Nothobranchius furzeri: one gene and its partner. The protein of the gene in region 2 interacts with the protein of the main gene of each other region in a biochemical or structural test. Links are inferred from orthologs where the notes say so. Each region holds a gene or a part of one and is shown on either strand. Other genes may lie near its edges.

Region 1 (3,817 bases), on a different chromosome or scaffold from region 2:
GCGTTGAAGCTTCCTTCTCAAGTTTCTTCACCTAATAACAAAAAATTTCTCCGTTCAGCTCGCAGCTTCTGTTTCCGGCAGAATAGTTTAAAAAGAACAAAAAAGGAAAACATGTTTCAACATCAGATCAGCGTCCTGGGCACGACACCAGGAACACAACCAGAGATCACAGCGTCGTCATCTCCTCTGGGAGGAAGGTGAGTGAACAGACCGTCATGATGGAACCACTCAGGGTCAGGTGGTCCATCAGACGCACAGCAGCAGCAGGGTACAGGGGTCCTCCGACCTCCTGAACAGCTCCTCCCATCAGATCGAACTGTGTGTGTGTGTGTGTGTGTGTGTGTGATGTCCTACCTGGCTCCTCTCATCTGAATGTTCTGGACAAACCTGTGTCAAACTGTGGGCGGCTCAGAATTTACAAACAGGAAATCAGTGTCACCACTTCCTGTTTCTGCAGCAGCTGTGGAACAACTTCCTCTAAAGTCACGACGGCACCTCCCTCCCAACCCCCGAGCAGCTCAGACTGCGTACCTCCTGCTGTTTCCAGTACAGCTGATCCGACTTCTGGAGGAAGCGTTCCAACATGTGGATGACGGCGCTGAAGATGAACTGGTACTGGTCCTGGATGGAAAAGAGAGTCCAGTCACACACCTGGAACTGGTCTGAGGTGGAGGAACGTTTCAGCAGCACCACCTGCTGACGTCCGGCCACCGCAGGTGCTTTAGCCGGGTTGGACGGGTCTCTGTTTGAGTGAAGAGTCCCTTTAATGAGCTGATCATGGTTCTGATGGTCTTAGAGACAGGCCCACTTCAGTCTGGATGTTGGAGGATCCAGTTTGACACACTGGATGGATCCTGGGTTCTTCTAGCAGAACCTCAGGAACTGTTCAAAGAATTTGGTGGGAGTTTAGGGTGTGAGGGACGAGGTCTAGCCTGGACCACTGAGCTCTACAAATCCTCAGAAAGCATTGCTTGAAGAACCATCTCCAACGAAAACTCAGAGAAGCAAATGGAACCGGGACTGGTCTGGACCAGGGACTAGTAGACTAGACTTTCAGAAATGGAACCCAGTGTCTCCCTCAGCATAAAGAGGTTGGACTGGTGGGGTTACACCACCAAACGGTTCCCGAGTGCAGCCGTGTCTGCAGCTCACCACTCCCCCAGGAGACGGGTCAAACGCGGAGAACAGGTTCACACACCAGAGTGACGACTAGCGGGTCCAGGAACTAGAGTAAGACCAGGGACTGGTGTGAGGAGCCTTCGTGGATCTGCCTACCTGGGTCTGCACTGCTGAAGGTCTCTGTTTCCGGAGCTCCAGGACGACCTTCAGGATGCTGAAGCCTTTAGGAATCTGCTGCAGAACCAACAACACAAAAGGGTGAAGAAAAACAAACGCCACAGAGGCAGAACCGCTCAGACGGTCTGGACCGAGTACCCATGTTCTAGCTGAGACTCTCAAGGCTTCATTTGGTTCTTTTGGTTGACTTGCTGTAGGAGAACCTGCTGAGCTACCAGATCCATGATGGATTCTTTAACTTCTTGTTGTGATTCAGGCCACGGAGGAACCTGGGAGCAGCTGGAGGACCTCCAACTGATCTGATGGTCCCAGATGTTTGCTCAAGTGGTTCCTGGACTTTCTAGCCTTTAAACATGAGGAGGACCCTATTTGGGTTCTGGACCCAGGCCCGAGTATTCGGAACCCTCCCAGAACCTGTCCTGGCTTACGTTTGTTTACGAAGAGATTTTTTTTAAATGAGCTTGGTTTGCAGGAGTTGTTATCATGTGTTACCGTGGCAACCAGAAGGTCATGGATGTAGTCAAGAGCACAGATGACTCCTGTCCTCCCACAGCCGGCACTATAACACACACACACACACACACACACACACACACACACACACACACACACACACACACACACACACACACACACAGACTCTAACAGATGCATTGAGCATGTTAACTGTGCCATCGTTAGCAGGTGTTACCTGCTGCATATTCACCACCTCCTGCTCTAGAGTGGGTGTGTTTGTGTGTGAGTGTGTGCATGTGTGTGTGTGTGTGTGTGAGTGTGTGTGTGTGTGTGTGTGTGCTTGCGTGTGTTACGCTGTCCTGTTAAATGTTAATGACCAGCTGACCTGTGATCAGTGCTGCTGCTACAAACAAGCTGCTGTAATGATACAAAGTCAACTGCAGTTCAGTGTGTGTGTGTGTGTGTGTGTGTGTGTGTGTGTGTGTGTGTGTGTGCACCTGCAGTGAATCAGGAGAGGTGACGGGTCAGCTCCACAGCTGCTTCTGGCTCGGTCCAGCAGGTCCAGAATTCCTGCCGTGTCAGAGGGAACGTCGTGATCTGGCCAGGATGTGTACTGGTACTGGATCACCGACTGGGTCTCCTGCAGGAGGACAAGAGGAGGTCACGGAGGAAGCAGCTTCTTTGTTTTACGTCAGAATTGGGATTGGACCTGCTGGTAGCTGACGGTCAGATTTCTGACCACGACGTCCTTGTTGGGTTTGGTCTCTCCCTGCTGGAGACACACAGGGACAGCCGGGACAAGGAGCTGAAACTGAATCTGACTCTTGTTGATTTACGTGTTAATTAAACATGACCTCTGTGTGACCTGTGGGTGAACTTACACAGCGGACAGTAAAAGGTCCGAACACGACTGGCTGGAGAGCTGCAGCCCAGTAACACTCGCACTTTCTCTGCAGGAAGGTTGCTCGGATGTTTAGTGTTCAGCTGTTTCAATCACACATCAAACAAACACGCATAAAACATGCTTTACCTTCCCCATCTCGATCTCTCTGCAGGCCATGACTATCACCTGAAACAGAGGGGTGTTAGTCAGAGGGGCCCGACTGTAAAAACCTCTGATTGGACAGTTTGACTGCTTATTAGTTTGTGATCATCCATTCACGTTAACACACACTTCAGAGATGTGGGTAGCTCATTTAATCAACACATGTGCAATGGTCTCTAGTAGGAATGAAGGCCTTGTGTGTCGTACTCCGGGGAAAAAGCGCCGGTGAGCCCGTTCCAGGAACTAGAAAGGAGCCACATCAGCTGAGCTTCAGACAACAGGATCGGGAGTCTTACTTCCTGATATTCAGATGTCTCTCCTCTGATTGGCTAACAGCAGCACGACTCTACCGCTGACTCTGTTTGCGCTGCAATGTTGATGATTTAACTCTACAGATAGCACAAGTCAAGAGGAGTTCTGCTGTGTGGTGGAGTTGCTAATGCTAACAGTGCTAGCAGAGATGTTCTCTGCTGTTTCCTGGACTAAACCAACGACAGCCTTCCCAGTCGTGAGTCCAGATGGGTGAGTCCATGAACATTAGGTGACAGTGTGACGTAGATCTGTCAGGATTTGCTAATCCTAGAGTTTCACCGTCTGTTTTCTATCAGAAGCTAATGCAGGAGATAGGTGTAGGAGACTATTTTCATGTTCAGCCTGCATGAAACCCTCAGAGTGACTTAATCATTTGAAGTGTGAACCACACTTTTAGGTTTCTGCTGCTCTGACATCATCAATCTTCTCCGGATGCAGTTGGACTGAAAAAAAAAACCCTTTTATCGTGTTAAAGGTATCAAAAACACATGTAAAAACATTTAAGTTGAGATTAAAAACACTTAATTATTCTTTAGCTTTATCGTTTATAGCTTTTATTGACTTTTAATCATTTATTGTACTAAATGATTTTTTACCGACTTTAGCGTTTCTCTATGTTGATTCTACTGTGTGATGAAACGCGTGTGTGTCCGCCACTTGGCCAGGCGTAGGAAAGGGCTTTATGAATAGGGACAGCAGCAGCTCAAC
Region 2 (4,381 bases):
TGGGTCACACGTAAGCTTCACATATATGAAAGAGCATCGCTGTAGTACTTTTATTTAGAAATTTACCGGTGATGATACACTAAAACCGTGTGTGACTTCCTGTCTAGCCCTATGTTAACTTTAGAAATTGACGCATTCTAGAAGCGACACGCAGCAAAAATAGAACCCGAGCCCGTCTTTAGTGAAGCGGCGTGCCACTTCTGGGACATGCCTGGAAATTGCCGCGTCGCTGCTGGTTTGAAACATTCCTATAATGGATTCAATTTGAAGCAGTGACGTTCCGCTGCCGTTCCGCCCTGCTGATGCTTTCAGTGTGAAACCGGGATGAGGAGACATTTCAGCAGTTAGATTAAGATGATATAAAGTTTCACTTTTTTTAACCTAACGGACACTAGAGGGTGCTAAAAGCAAGCCAAAACGGCATACTACTCCTTTAAGGGCCACATTTGAGTAATTCAGAGAAATTTCCTGAATGAGGCCTTTAAAGGGCTGCGTCTATACTCTTAGAATCTGGGGTTACAATGTGTAACCATGTTATTTGTTGTTTGGTTTCTTTAAGTGTGTATGTATTTCTGCCCATTTTATTTCTTATTGTCATGATGTAGGAAGGTGAGGATCCAAATCCAGATGAATACGCTTCTGAGAGGCCACCAAGACAGCAGAAACTCTTTTATTTCAGAGTCAGGTCAGGAGTAATAGGGAAACAGGGAAGCACAAGATCAAATGATGGGGCAGGGGAGCAGATTCTGACACATCATACATAATTTGGCAAATCATTAACTGCTGCAAAGTTTGATGAATCAAACTGACTGGCTTTTTAGTTAATTTGACCCAAATTATTAACTATTTTATGTGCTAGAAAAAATGCTCAATTGATGCTAAAAATAAAGCAGCTAAAAAGTTTGAACGCTAGAGACATAATCCCCTTCATCTTGTAAAAGAAAATAAAGCAGCTTGTTTACCTTCTCGATCTGTTTGGGAGTCGCTGTGGGAGCGCTGCCCAGCCGTTCAGCCGTTTGCTCTGCCTCATCCGCCTCCTTGCAGCGTTGCTCATAAGATTTTTTTGACTGTTGATGCAGGAAACAGAGACCCAATGAAACTCTGACGCAAGAATCTATGTTCATTAGTAGTTCACTCTGAACCCTCAACAGGAAGCAGAGGTATTTAGTCAAAAAAGAAGACATGGTGCATGTTGCAAAAAAATATCACACACCTCCTTCCTCTCAACATAAACTGAAGTTTTTAAAAAGTAAAAAAAAAATGAGTCTATTTAATGTTCTTGTATGTGTAAGGTGTAAAAATCACAGGATCTGATTCTTAGATGTAGGATAGAACACCAATCACTAAGAGACCCTACCTCAATAGTTTTCTTGTAGAGAGAAACCTTCATCTTTTGAGCCTTCTCCATGCTGATTTCAAACTGGGTGACAAGACTTTTATGTTAGAAAGAAGAAATTCTTTACTTTGCGTTTCCTTGTTCTTTTACCCACAACAAAAATGGGAGGAGGGGGGAGTCGACACCTTTTTTCTCTGTTCTTTCTGTCTCTCTCTGAATTCCTCCATTCTCTTCACCTCGTCCTTTAGGAGACCAGAAAGCTGGATGTGCAAGTTCCCTACATTTTCCATTTCTGCAAAGAAAACAAAACATTATATATTAAAAAAAATTAAATACAAAAGCAGAACAGAACAGAGAAACAAGTCATGCTGGGTAATGTGGTATGATTACGTGTTTTCATGTCATCAAATGAAGTCCTCAAAGTGCTGCAGAAAGGAAGAAGAAAATAACTGCACACTCTACTTGATGCATAAACACATAACATAACATCAGACCATAAATTATGAGCATTTGGGCACGAATGAACCCTTTGGCACGCACCAAATCTCAACCAGACCACCAGCTTTTCGGGCGATTGAAACCAGTTCTTTTCCATATTTCTCCTCTGCTGAAGCTCTATGAAAACATCAACAAACACACACTTTTTAAATATTAGTTTCTAAATACAGACACAACTAACTCAACTTACCTCATTTTCAACAACTCCTCCGTGTCTTTACACGTCCGCCGACCATCATTGAGTCTCTGAATAATGGCCTCGTAACCATCACAGCTGATAAAGTCTTTTCCCTGCAGAAAAAGTGAGGTATATCTTTTTCTTTGCAGTTTAAAACACACAGTTAATGAATAATTTTAATAATAAACTCTGAAGGCGGTGATTATCAATCATTAGCTGGTGAGCATTATTCTTCTTTCCTCATGTAGGGAGCATGCCATATTTAGTAAAACAGAAACTGTTGCATTGTTGGAAAAAGCAGTGGCAGAGGTGTTAAAACTCCTCACATCTGTAAAACCGATGACTGTCTGAGAATCAAGAGCACAAAAATCTCAAAGAGTTGCCAGATTAACAGGAAATTATCTAAAAAAAGGACTTTATGTGAATATACACTCAAGGGTAGGATCGCAGCATGCTACACTATAAAAAAAGCTTTGTTACTTTTACCCATCTTTCTTCTAAAAATCAGACACGATCAAGTGATTAAGAACAGTAACAGTACAGATTAATGACTTTTCATGCAATAAAAGCTAACAGAAATCTCCAGAGGACGTCTAAAACATAAAGCCAGACTCAAAATGACTTGTGATCCAAAATGCTCATACAACAAAACAAAAAAGCATCAATAAATTTGACATCTAAGTGATGAGGTTCACAGTTCAGAAGAGATCATTGTTCCTTTTAGAACATAAAATATAATCTAAAAATGAATCAGCAAATTTCAGCCAACTCACCCAAAACGAGTCTTTAAATTGTAAAGCCATCTTGGTAGTGTTTGGTAACGTTTCCAGTTAGCGAGTCACGCTGTTGTGCCACTTGGCGGTCTGCTTCGATGCAACTGCAGCACATCAGGACACACTCAGGAAACAAACCCTCATGCAGCAACTCTCACTCGCAGTGTCATTTCATTTAAATCAGGAAGAGGTGACACAATCGAGCTCACAACAGCAACGACACTAACTCCGGCACCGAAATAGAATTAAAACTAACTTCACTTCATTTTTTAAAAACTGTTCAAGTAAACCCCAGTAAGGTGTGTTTTGATCAATTGTTTATTTGATAAATCATTAAAAGTTGTTAATGAGTTCCTCCTTATTTTACAAAGAGGATGATACAAAAACAGGGATTTCCGATCAAATGTGTCAATTCAACTGGAAAGAACAGCAGTTTGTACATTTTGTGTTGGTTGATTTGGAGGTGACTCATTTTAAAGCACTTTTGTTTGTAACATCACATTATTACATTATTAGGACACGTCATTTTTGTCACTTGTTACATAAAACATCTGCTGTAATATAAGTTTATGTTTCCACAGTTGCACAAAATACATAATCAGTCAAAAAAACTAAAATTTTGATTTAGTTAAAAACAGTGTTTCTATAAAAGATGAAAAACAAGGTTATAGTTCATCATGTGACACATGCAGCTGTCTGCCATAGTCCGTCACTTCACTGTTCATGAACATCTCTTGGTTTTTTAAAACTTCTGCCAGTGAAATCCGTTCGTCCCCATCAAGGTCCATTTCCTTTATGAGGTGAAGAGCCTGTTAATGACGAGTAAAGAAAACAGAAAAATTATTATATGGCAACTGATGCCTCCAAACAATAACTTGTAGTGGACAGCAGAGGGTTAGACAGAAATGTTACAAAAAGAATGCACCGTATAGACAGCCTAACTTTAGATGCATCATTTCTTCTTCCAGCTCTCCCACAGTTTAATTTACTGAAGTACAATAAAGACAGAATGTACTTTTGGTTGCTGTTTTTATGAGATAATGTGTAAGAACCTGTTTGGGCCAACATGTGTCACTTTGTTATTGTAGCAGATGTGTATAAAAGTAAAAAAAATGTTCCTTAATTCAGAAGATCAAACCGTTTTAGATCTAAATTATAGTTGTTAAGTCTGCTCTTAAAGCATCTGAGGCCTTTAGTACGCTGGAGCCACCATCAGTGATATGAAGAGACTGCAGCAGGTTGTACGCTCTGCTGAGAAGGTCATTGGCTGTAAACCCCTCTTCATACATGACCTGTACACCTCTAGGATATTGAGGCGAGCAGGTCGGATATCAGCTGACCCGTCTCACCCTGGACAGTCTTTTTGACTTGCTCCCATCTGACAGGAGGCTCCGAACCATTCGGACCAGAACCTCTCTCCACAAAAACAGTTTCATCCCCTCTGCGATCGGACTCGTAGAACTGCCCACTCCAGTTGCTTTATTCCAGTCACCTGACCCTAGTGTTACTGATCCACTCCGACCAGTACCTACACTGACTTGTATCTAGTAGCCACTTATCTAATTATTGCCTCCTTATATTATTATCATTTCATTG

What was found.
Region 1: the proteins of pstpip1a (region 2) and ptpn18 form a complex in vitro, tested with the Homo sapiens proteins (2 studies listed by BioGRID and IntAct). The link is inferred for Nothobranchius furzeri from reciprocal best matches to the Homo sapiens genes PSTPIP1 and PTPN18.

Annotation. Positions count from the first base shown.
Region 1 is NC_091755.1:47,287,228-47,291,044, reverse strand, and holds part of ptpn18 (tyrosine-protein phosphatase non-receptor type 18), read right to left. Parts: intron 2,822-3,817; coding exon 2,783-2,821; intron 2,703-2,782; coding exon 2,634-2,702; intron 2,525-2,633; coding exon 2,462-2,524; intron 2,393-2,461; coding exon 2,250-2,392; intron 1,856-2,249; coding exon 1,789-1,855; intron 1,354-1,788; coding exon 1,276-1,353; intron 622-1,275; coding exon 532-621; intron 32-531; coding exon 1-31. UniProt on the Homo sapiens protein: Differentially dephosphorylate autophosphorylated tyrosine kinases which are known to be overexpressed in tumor tissues.
Region 2 is NC_091744.1:68,453,399-68,457,779, reverse strand, and holds the start of pstpip1a (proline-serine-threonine phosphatase-interacting protein 1a), read right to left. Parts: upstream 2,927-4,381; 5' UTR 2,816-2,926; coding exon 2,786-2,815; intron 2,126-2,785; coding exon 2,025-2,125; intron 1,952-2,024; coding exon 1,877-1,951; intron 1,762-1,876; coding exon 1,727-1,761; intron 1,629-1,726; coding exon 1,522-1,628; intron 1,421-1,521; coding exon 1,358-1,420; intron 1,068-1,357; coding exon 963-1,067; intron 1-962. Other genes in the region: rcn2 (reticulocalbin-2), read right to left, coding at 3,451-3,594. UniProt on the Homo sapiens protein: Involved in regulation of the actin cytoskeleton. May regulate WAS actin-bundling activity. Bridges the interaction between ABL1 and PTPN18 leading to ABL1 dephosphorylation.